2 linked regions of the Arabidopsis thaliana genome follow. The protein of the gene in region 1 interacts with the protein of each later gene in a pairwise test. Each region holds a gene or a part of one and is shown on either strand. Other genes may lie near its edges.

Region 1 (3,587 bases):
ACATAATGGATATGTATGGGAAAACACGGAGACTAAGCGATGCAGTGAGACTCATGGCTAAGATGAAACAAAGAGGGTGTAAACCCAACATTTGGATTTACAATTCCTTGATTGATATGCATGGAAGGGCTATGGACTTAAGGAGGGCTGAAAAGATATGGAAAGAGATGAAGAGGGCGAAGGTGTTGCCGGACAAGGTGAGTTACACTAGTATGATCAGTGCATATAACAGATCAAAAGAGTTGGAGAGATGTGTGGAGCTTTACCAGGAGTTTAGGATGAACAGAGGAAAGATTGATAGGGCCATGGCAGGAATCATGGTCGGTGTATTCTCCAAAACCAGTAGGATTGATGAGCTAATGAGGCTGTTGCAGGACATGAAAGTTGAAGGAACCAGGCTTGATGCTAGGCTTTATTCCTCAGCTTTGAATGCTCTGCGTGATGCTGGTCTCAATTCCCAGATCAGATGGCTACAGGAAAGCTTTGACGCTGCACAAACTAGTACTTCAAAATATTCGAATACAAAGAACACAGGAACTTTAAGTTGAAAGGGAAAACTGTACAAGCCAAGATTATTTTTCTTGTAATTAAATGTACTATATTGCCAATAGAGATCTGCTATCTTGCAAATAGAAGATTTCCAGCTTAAGTTGTAAAGCCTTAATGAAAGCTTGGAATTTCCAAAATGATACATCAAAAAAAGGAACGGCTAAATTTTCAATACAACCAAAGAAAGACAAAGGAGTAACACAGAGTGGTCACCAAATGTATTTGTCACTCGGAATCATATGAATGGAAATAGTGAGAAGTACTAGAGCGAGCCAGTGAACCCACCTCAATATACTCATAATTATCTGCTTTCGAATCTCATTTGGAAACTGCTTTACCATCTACGGCTTGAGCTGTTTCTACAACTTTTGCATCACCAGAACAACATCCTCCTCCATGGTGATGATGATGACCGTGGGCGTGGTGATGGTTCTGCTTCCCCTTGAGATTCTTCCGCATGTCATAAGCATCCTCCCCATCGGCGTAGTACTTTGCTTCTACATCATTAATCTTGTAGCCTAATGTCTCAGTGTATAGATTGAATGCTGCTCGGTTACTTCTCCTCACATGCAACGAAACATACTCAGCCTCGTAAACCTGCCACAAAACCCCGACCGAGAATGAATTTAAAAAGTCCAAGTTCGAGAGTGAAAACAACTATCAACCTTTGAGGTCTGCTATTATTAGTTTCACAGGCAATCAGAAACTACTCGTCTCCGTCAGTCAAAAGCATAACACGACCGGAGACAAAACTTAATCTCTTTATACAATCTACAGAGCTTAAGTTACTTCAAATTCCAATGACAATTGCAACAATCACTTTGACACACAAAGTTTCTAACTTTCAATAAAATCCTTTAACTTACACCATTATATCAATCTTCAACATAAACTCAAACCACACAAATTCTTCTATATCATCCAATTATTCAACACGAAACTCTATATCAATTCAATGAATCTGCTTAATTGAATGCAAAGATATACGAAATTTGAAGATTAGAGGAGTAACCTGTTCCATGGCAGCTTGAGCGGCGGTCATGAGCTTAGTGGCGAGACCGAGCTTGCGATGGGTACGAAGAACGGCGAGAGAAGTGATGTGGCCGTGGCACTCGTTGCTCTCTTCCTCCATCTTAGCCAAGACATAGCCAACGATGCGACCATTGTAGTCCTCGGCGACGTAGAGAAGCTGAGGCCATGAGAGGATATGGTAGAGGTAGTACTTCATCTGGTAGTTCTCAGGAAGACACATGAGATTGCAGGCTTGCATCGCCAGCAGATCATCCACCGTCGCTCGCCTGATGCAAACCATGGCTGCTCAATTGCTCTCGCGCGGATAAAGAGGGGTTAGGGTTTTCGGTCTAATGCCTTTGGGCTTTATTAATCTGGGGACGAATTGTAATTATAGAGAAATATGAGGTCTTTATTGAAACTTTTGCTTATATTTTAGGGGCATTTAATGAAATTCATTATAAACTTTTTCAGTTTAGGATTTGAGGTCCAATTGGGCCTTGATTGTAATGGAGTAGGAAGATTCCGATAACCTTCACTTTCTATAAGCTTATTTCTCCGCAAATTTTCTTACTATACGAGATGTCAAATAACTCTGTGCCTTGTAAAGATTATGGATTTCAAACTCTCAGCTAGGCATATCTTTTTTATAGGAGAGACAGTCGAGAAATAATCAAAAGAAGAAGGACAAAGAGAGTTGGTGCAGAGATTAGATAACTGAATCTTCTCTTCTTTTTGCAAGTATCCCTCTAAAATTACTTTTAAAACAATCGGATACTTGCTAAAGAGGAAACATTAGTAGCCTTCTCCCATACTTTTCTAGGACTAAACAGAGAACCTTTGTCTTTTGGCTTCAGGTGGAGAATTTGCTAAACTAGACTGATCCCCTCTTTCTGCAGTTTCGCTGCTCGTGTTTGTTGTCACTGAATCGCTTGACGGGCTCTCTCTTTCTCCTTCATTCGTCCTTCTATCATGTGCCTCTCCCGGCAACCTTGGAGAAAACACAAGTAGTAAGAATTTTATAACTCCAGTTAGTGAGTGTTAAGGCATATGCATAACTAACAGAGGAGGAAAAAGACTTATATTTATCTTAAATCAGCTTTCCAATAATGCAACCAATGACAGCAAATAGACTTAAAAGAGCAATACCCTAATTGCAAAGTTGTGTCTGAATCGGTGTTCTGGAGGCTGCATTTACTGTCGTGGTTTATGAGAGCGTTCTTTGGATCTATAGCAAAGCATTTGATGTAGGATGGAACATAGTGGGTGAACGACGGGAGAAAGCTCCTCAGTTCTTGAACCTGTTTCAACAAGTAATTACAAGTCAGAGGAAGAAGCGTTCATTAGGAGATGATTCAACAAAAATAATAAGAACCTGTCTACGCAAGGTCTCGTTTTCCAACTCTGCTCGTTGTTCCTGCAAAGTATATATATGGCTAATCAAGAAACGAATTATACTTTTGCACTCTGTACCTAGTTATATAGGAGTCTTAAGACAAATAAACTGCACACTAGCTAGTTAGAGCATGAGCTTGTCAAAGGATAGCCACTGGTTTTAACAAGGTTCAGAATCATGTGATTACACATAAGCTTACATTTGGAAGCTAGAGAGGAAAAGCTAGTGTTTACCTTGAGGCGTGATTCTTCAAGTTGGTTAGTCAGCAATCGTTCCTGAAATCAGATAACCATAATCAGGACAATGCAAAGAGAAATGATGATGGAAGAGTGATATTACTAGTTACCTTTCGCTCTCTGACAGTAATCAATGCATGATATAGTTGCTGCTCAAGGCTTTGCAGCTCTTTAAAGGTCAGAGGATTCAAGCCCTTGCCCTGCAGTTGTCTACAACAGAACAGAACACACAAAGCCAAACACTAAAAACAAACACAAAGTAGAGAAGAATAAAGTAATGAACAAGCATAGTGAGATTTATTTAGTTTCCATACAAATGTTTCTCTTGAAGCTTTGAAAGTTGATCCTTTAAAATATCCACCTCTGCACAATCCTCCTGGAGGTTCTAAACAGCA
Region 2 (4,837 bases), on another chromosome or scaffold:
GTTAAAATTACATCACATGAGAGTATCGGACAATTTACAAAAATGTATACGAGGTAGTGTATAAGACGGTGTATGGGATAATTCATATGGTTCAGTACAAAATAATATACTAGGCTGTGTGCGTGAAGGGATGTATGAGATGGTATAAACAGAGGTGTATAAGATGATGTACAAGGCCGTGTACAAGATAATGTGAGATTATGTAAAAGATAGTATACAAGATGGTGTGTTTAACTCTGTACAAGTGGTGTTTAATACTGTGTAAGGGATGGTATATGAGACAATGTATAAATCAATGTACAAGATGAGACGAGCTGTGAAATTTATGTATTTACTCTAAGATCCATGAGAGTTTCTTCTTCATGTCTCAGGTGAGGAGGTTGGCGAAAGGAAGGTTAGGAAAAGTGAAGATAAATTTGATTTTGTTACAAAAGTCAAAAACATTTGCCTATATAACTTAAATATGGAGCCCATTATCATTATTCGTAGTTAGTAGAGCTTGTTCACGTTTATGTTACGATCTTGTATTGATAGAAGAATGTTTTCACTTGTCTTCGACTGAATCAGTGTTGCCTTCTCTCAGGTTATATCTTTCGTCTATGCTTTCGTCAAAGCAAAAAATCCCTAAATTAGATGAATTTTATGCCTTGACTCAAGGCATAAATTCATCAAATGTGGTATATAGAGCGTATTTAGCTTCATATATACTATTGAGTTTCCAGAGTCGTACGAGCGCTATCAAGTATCAGAAGCGAATAAAAATAAAATATCCTTACGAAAAAAAAAATCGTCTACAAAAAATAAACATCATTGTCATGTAAGAAAAAGAAAATTGACAAACTAAATATTAGTTCTTAAACAGTTGTTGACCCTTCCTCTCCACTAAATCGTTAACCAAGCTTTCAAAATCAATGTCTCTAACCAATTCTCTTTCGATTGATAATATAGCCAACTCACTCAATCTTTCTTGTGACATAGTCGACCGAAGATACGATTTGATCAACTTCAGCTTTGAAAAACTTCTTTAAGCAGATGCAACCGAAACTGGAATCGTCAACATTGTTCCTATAAAGCAATGGTACCTTCAATATGAGACAAAAATTATATATTAAATCTGCTTTGAAAGCAAAGTGAAATTTTTGTCTCCAATTATAAAGTAACATAACTATTCTAATGAGCTTTTGCTATTTGGATCTAATGTTATCATATTATTACCTCTACAACGTTCATCCTTTTCTAGCGCTTGTTGTTGTTCATCTTTTGCATGCGGATCATATATGCGTGTAATCTGGTCGTTGTCAAATTTTTATTAATTAGCATTTCAAGCCATTGCCATTGTCAACGAATATTCAGTATTTATTAGAAAAATCAACAGAAATTTAATATCTATTTAGTTTTGTTGAAATTTAAAGATATAAATCAATATTTACTATAAATTTAATTTTAGTAATATTTTTCCGATTTAGATTTTGTTATTCCCGTTTTTTTATATTGATCAGTTTTAGCGTTTTTTAGCGGTGAACAGTAGACTCAACTCGGATTGGACTAGACGGGCGATCCCGGTAGAACAGGTCCGAACGCCCGGTCTGGTTCCCAAACACTGCAATTACCGCATCTTGTGTTGTGGACCGGACCGACTATGACTGAATATTGCATTCATTTTGATCCTAAAAATGTCAATCAATGCTCATTTATTTATTATATATTTTGGAAAAAAGTGAGAAAAAACTGAAACGGTGCGACGTTATTAAATCTTTTAAATCCCCCCACCAAAGCATCTGCTTCTTCCTCTTGTCTCTCTCTCTCTCTCTCTCTCTTTCATCTTCAAACTCTACAAACCCAGAAACCACCACACAGTAATTAATGTCTCTTTCTTTCTTCCCATGTGATCTTTAACAGACTTTTCTTCTTATTCTCCATCTCTGAAGTTGTGGGGATTCATCAAGACTTCCTTATCTGTTTCTTTTATAAAACAAGAGAGAGATACCACTTTTGGTGTTCTTTATTTGCAACTCTTTCAGGCAAACACTCTTTGTCTCTTTTCTTATCTTATTATTGTTTCTATTTTTTGTTGATAATACTTTCGATTTTTTTTGGCTCTCTGTTCTTTCTAGATCGTTTGGTTTTATTGTCTATAATATTCATTTTGACAATCTATGTATTGATATGAGAACATTACTTCTTAGTCTCTTTAGTTTTTTTTTTTGTTTTTGACCCTTAAGCTTGATTTGTTGTTTTTAGCTTCTGGTGATTTGTTTGATCAAAGAAAGCTTATAAGTTTTTTTTTCTTTTTCAGGTTAAAGAAATCGATAGGCTCTGTTCTTGATTGTGGTGGAAGAGACATGATGATGTTTAACGAGATGGGAATGTATGGAAACATGGATTTCTTCTCTTCCTCCACATCTCTCGATGTGTGTCCATTACCACAAGCTGAACAAGAACCTGTAGTTGAAGATGTCGACTACACCGATGATGAGATGGATGTGGATGAGCTTGAGAAGAGGATGTGGAGAGACAAAATGCGTTTGAAACGTCTCAAGGAGCAACAGAGTAAGTGTAAAGAAGGCGTCGATGGTTCGAAACAGAGGCAGTCGCAAGAGCAAGCTAGGAGGAAGAAAATGTCTAGAGCCCAAGATGGGATCTTGAAGTATATGTTGAAGATGATGGAAGTTTGTAAAGCTCAAGGCTTTGTTTATGGTATTATTCCTGAGAAGGGTAAGCCTGTGACTGGTGCTTCGGATAATTTGAGGGAATGGTGGAAAGATAAGGTTAGGTTTGATCGTAATGGTCCAGCTGCTATTGCTAAGTATCAGTCAGAGAATAATATTTCTGGAGGGAGTAATGATTGTAACAGCTTGGTTGGTCCAACACCGCATACGCTTCAGGAGCTTCAGGACACGACTCTTGGTTCGCTTTTATCGGCTTTGATGCAACATTGTGATCCACCGCAGAGACGGTTTCCTTTGGAGAAAGGAGTTTCTCCACCTTGGTGGCCTAATGGGAATGAAGAGTGGTGGCCTCAGCTTGGTTTACCAAATGAGCAAGGTCCTCCTCCTTATAAGAAGCCTCATGATTTGAAGAAAGCTTGGAAAGTCGGTGTTTTAACTGCGGTGATCAAGCATATGTCGCCGGATATTGCGAAGATCCGTAAGCTTGTGAGGCAATCAAAATGCTTGCAGGATAAGATGACGGCGAAAGAGAGTGCTACTTGGCTTGCCATTATTAACCAAGAAGAGGTTGTGGCTCGGGAGCTTTATCCCGAGTCATGCCCTCCTCTTTCTTCTTCTTCATCATTAGGAAGCGGGTCGCTTCTCATTAATGATTGTAGCGAGTATGACGTTGAAGGTTTCGAGAAGGAACAACATGGTTTCGATGTGGAAGAGCGGAAACCAGAGATAGTGATGATGCATCCTCTAGCAAGCTTTGGGGTTGCTAAAATGCAACATTTTCCCATAAAGGAGGAGGTCGCCACCACGGTAAACTTAGAGTTCACGAGAAAGAGGAAGCAGAACAATGATATGAATGTTATGGTAATGGACAGATCAGCAGGTTACACTTGTGAGAATGGTCAGTGTCCTCACAGCAAAATGAATCTTGGATTTCAAGACAGGAGTTCAAGGGACAACCACCAGATGGTTTGTCCATATAGAGACAATCGTTTAGCGTATGGAGCATCCAAGTTTCATATGGGTGGAATGAAACTAGTAGTTCCTCAGCAACCAGTCCAACCGATCGACCTATCGGGCGTTGGAGTTCCGGAAAACGGGCAGAAGATGATCACCGAGCTTATGGCCATGTACGACAGAAATGTCCAAAGCAACCAAACGCCTCCTACTTTGATGGAAAACCAAAGCATGGTCATTGATGCAAAAGCAGCTCAGAATCAGCAGCTGAATTTCAACAGTGGCAATCAAATGTTTATGCAACAAGGGACGAACAACGGGGTTAACAATCGGTTCCAGATGGTGTTTGATTCGACACCATTCGATATGGCAGCATTCGATTACAGAGATGATTGGCAAACCGGAGCAATGGAAGGAATGGGGAAGCAGCAGCAGCAGCAGCAGCAGCAGCAAGATGTATCAATATGGTTCTGAATATTACACAATCTCTGTAACATTCATTCTTTCATAATAACTCTGTTACCTACTTACCTGACTTGGGTATGTATTCTATTGGCACCAAACACTCATCTATATTGTTGATGATGATGAAGCCATCTATTTTTTTTGTGTCTGAAAGTCATTTAACTCGCTTCATTGTTTTAATAATGTCACTATCCATTGAACATCATTCTCATGCTACAAGTTTGATTCTTTGAGTTCTATTTTTTAATCTTTGGGTTTAACCGTATAAGTTCAAGTAGCCAGCATAACAATCATGAAACAATATGGAACTCTTCTCTTTTTTCTCTTTTTCTTTTAAGTGTTAAGTCTGTCATTTTTGTTGGTTGTTCTCTAGTCAACTCAATTCAATAATCAATATCATAAGAAAAACACATGGCTTAGCCATATTTATAGGGTTATAAAAAGCATTTATCTTATAATATAAGTTATCTTCTTTGCTTTCATGTAGAAAGTATATTCTCTTATAATTTGTTTGGTCAAACACAATTGAATAATATAGTAACAGGTTGCCAACAATTGCATCAGTGTCGGCTACTGTGGCTTCTTCTTCACCACTGGCAAATTCTAATGTAACTTTTTTTATCCACATTGTAATCCAAAACGGATATTTATATAATAATAAGGTGAAAAAAGCCAAAAATGGTGAGAGTGTTTTTGGGAGGAAGAGAAGACAAACGTTGTTGTCTCCTTTATTTTGGAATTGGAGGACA

The links. The genes of interacting proteins can lie anywhere in the genome.
Region 2: the proteins of AT5G13780 (region 1) and EIL1 interact in a two-hybrid assay, tested with the Arabidopsis thaliana proteins (one large-scale study listed by BioGRID).

What each region holds. Positions count from the first base shown.
Region 1 is NC_003076.8:4,446,743-4,450,329, forward strand, and holds AT5G13780 (Acyl-CoA N-acyltransferases (NAT) superfamily protein), read right to left. Parts: upstream 1,934-3,587; 5' UTR 1,862-1,933; coding exon 1,562-1,861; intron 1,147-1,561; coding exon 868-1,146; 3' UTR 549-867; downstream 1-548. Other genes in the region: AT5G13770 (Pentatricopeptide repeat (PPR-like) superfamily protein), read left to right, coding at 1-548; AGL15 (AGAMOUS-like 15), read right to left, coding at 2,386-2,551, 2,710-2,861, 2,936-2,977, 3,190-3,231, 3,303-3,402, 3,507-3,577. UniProt on the Arabidopsis thaliana protein: Catalytic subunit of the NatA N-alpha-acetyltransferase complex. Required for male gametocyte development, embryogenesis, suspensor development and the formation of the quiescent center (QC) in the root meristem.
Region 2 is NC_003071.7:11,543,972-11,548,808, forward strand, and holds EIL1 (ETHYLENE-INSENSITIVE3-like 1), read left to right. Parts: upstream 1-1,684; 5' UTR 1,685-2,021; intron 2,022-2,296; 5' UTR 2,297-2,342; coding exon 2,343-4,097; 3' UTR 4,098-4,322; downstream 4,323-4,837. UniProt on the Arabidopsis thaliana protein: Probable transcription factor acting as a positive regulator in the ethylene response pathway. Could bind the primary ethylene response element present in the ETHYLENE-RESPONSE-FACTOR1 promoter.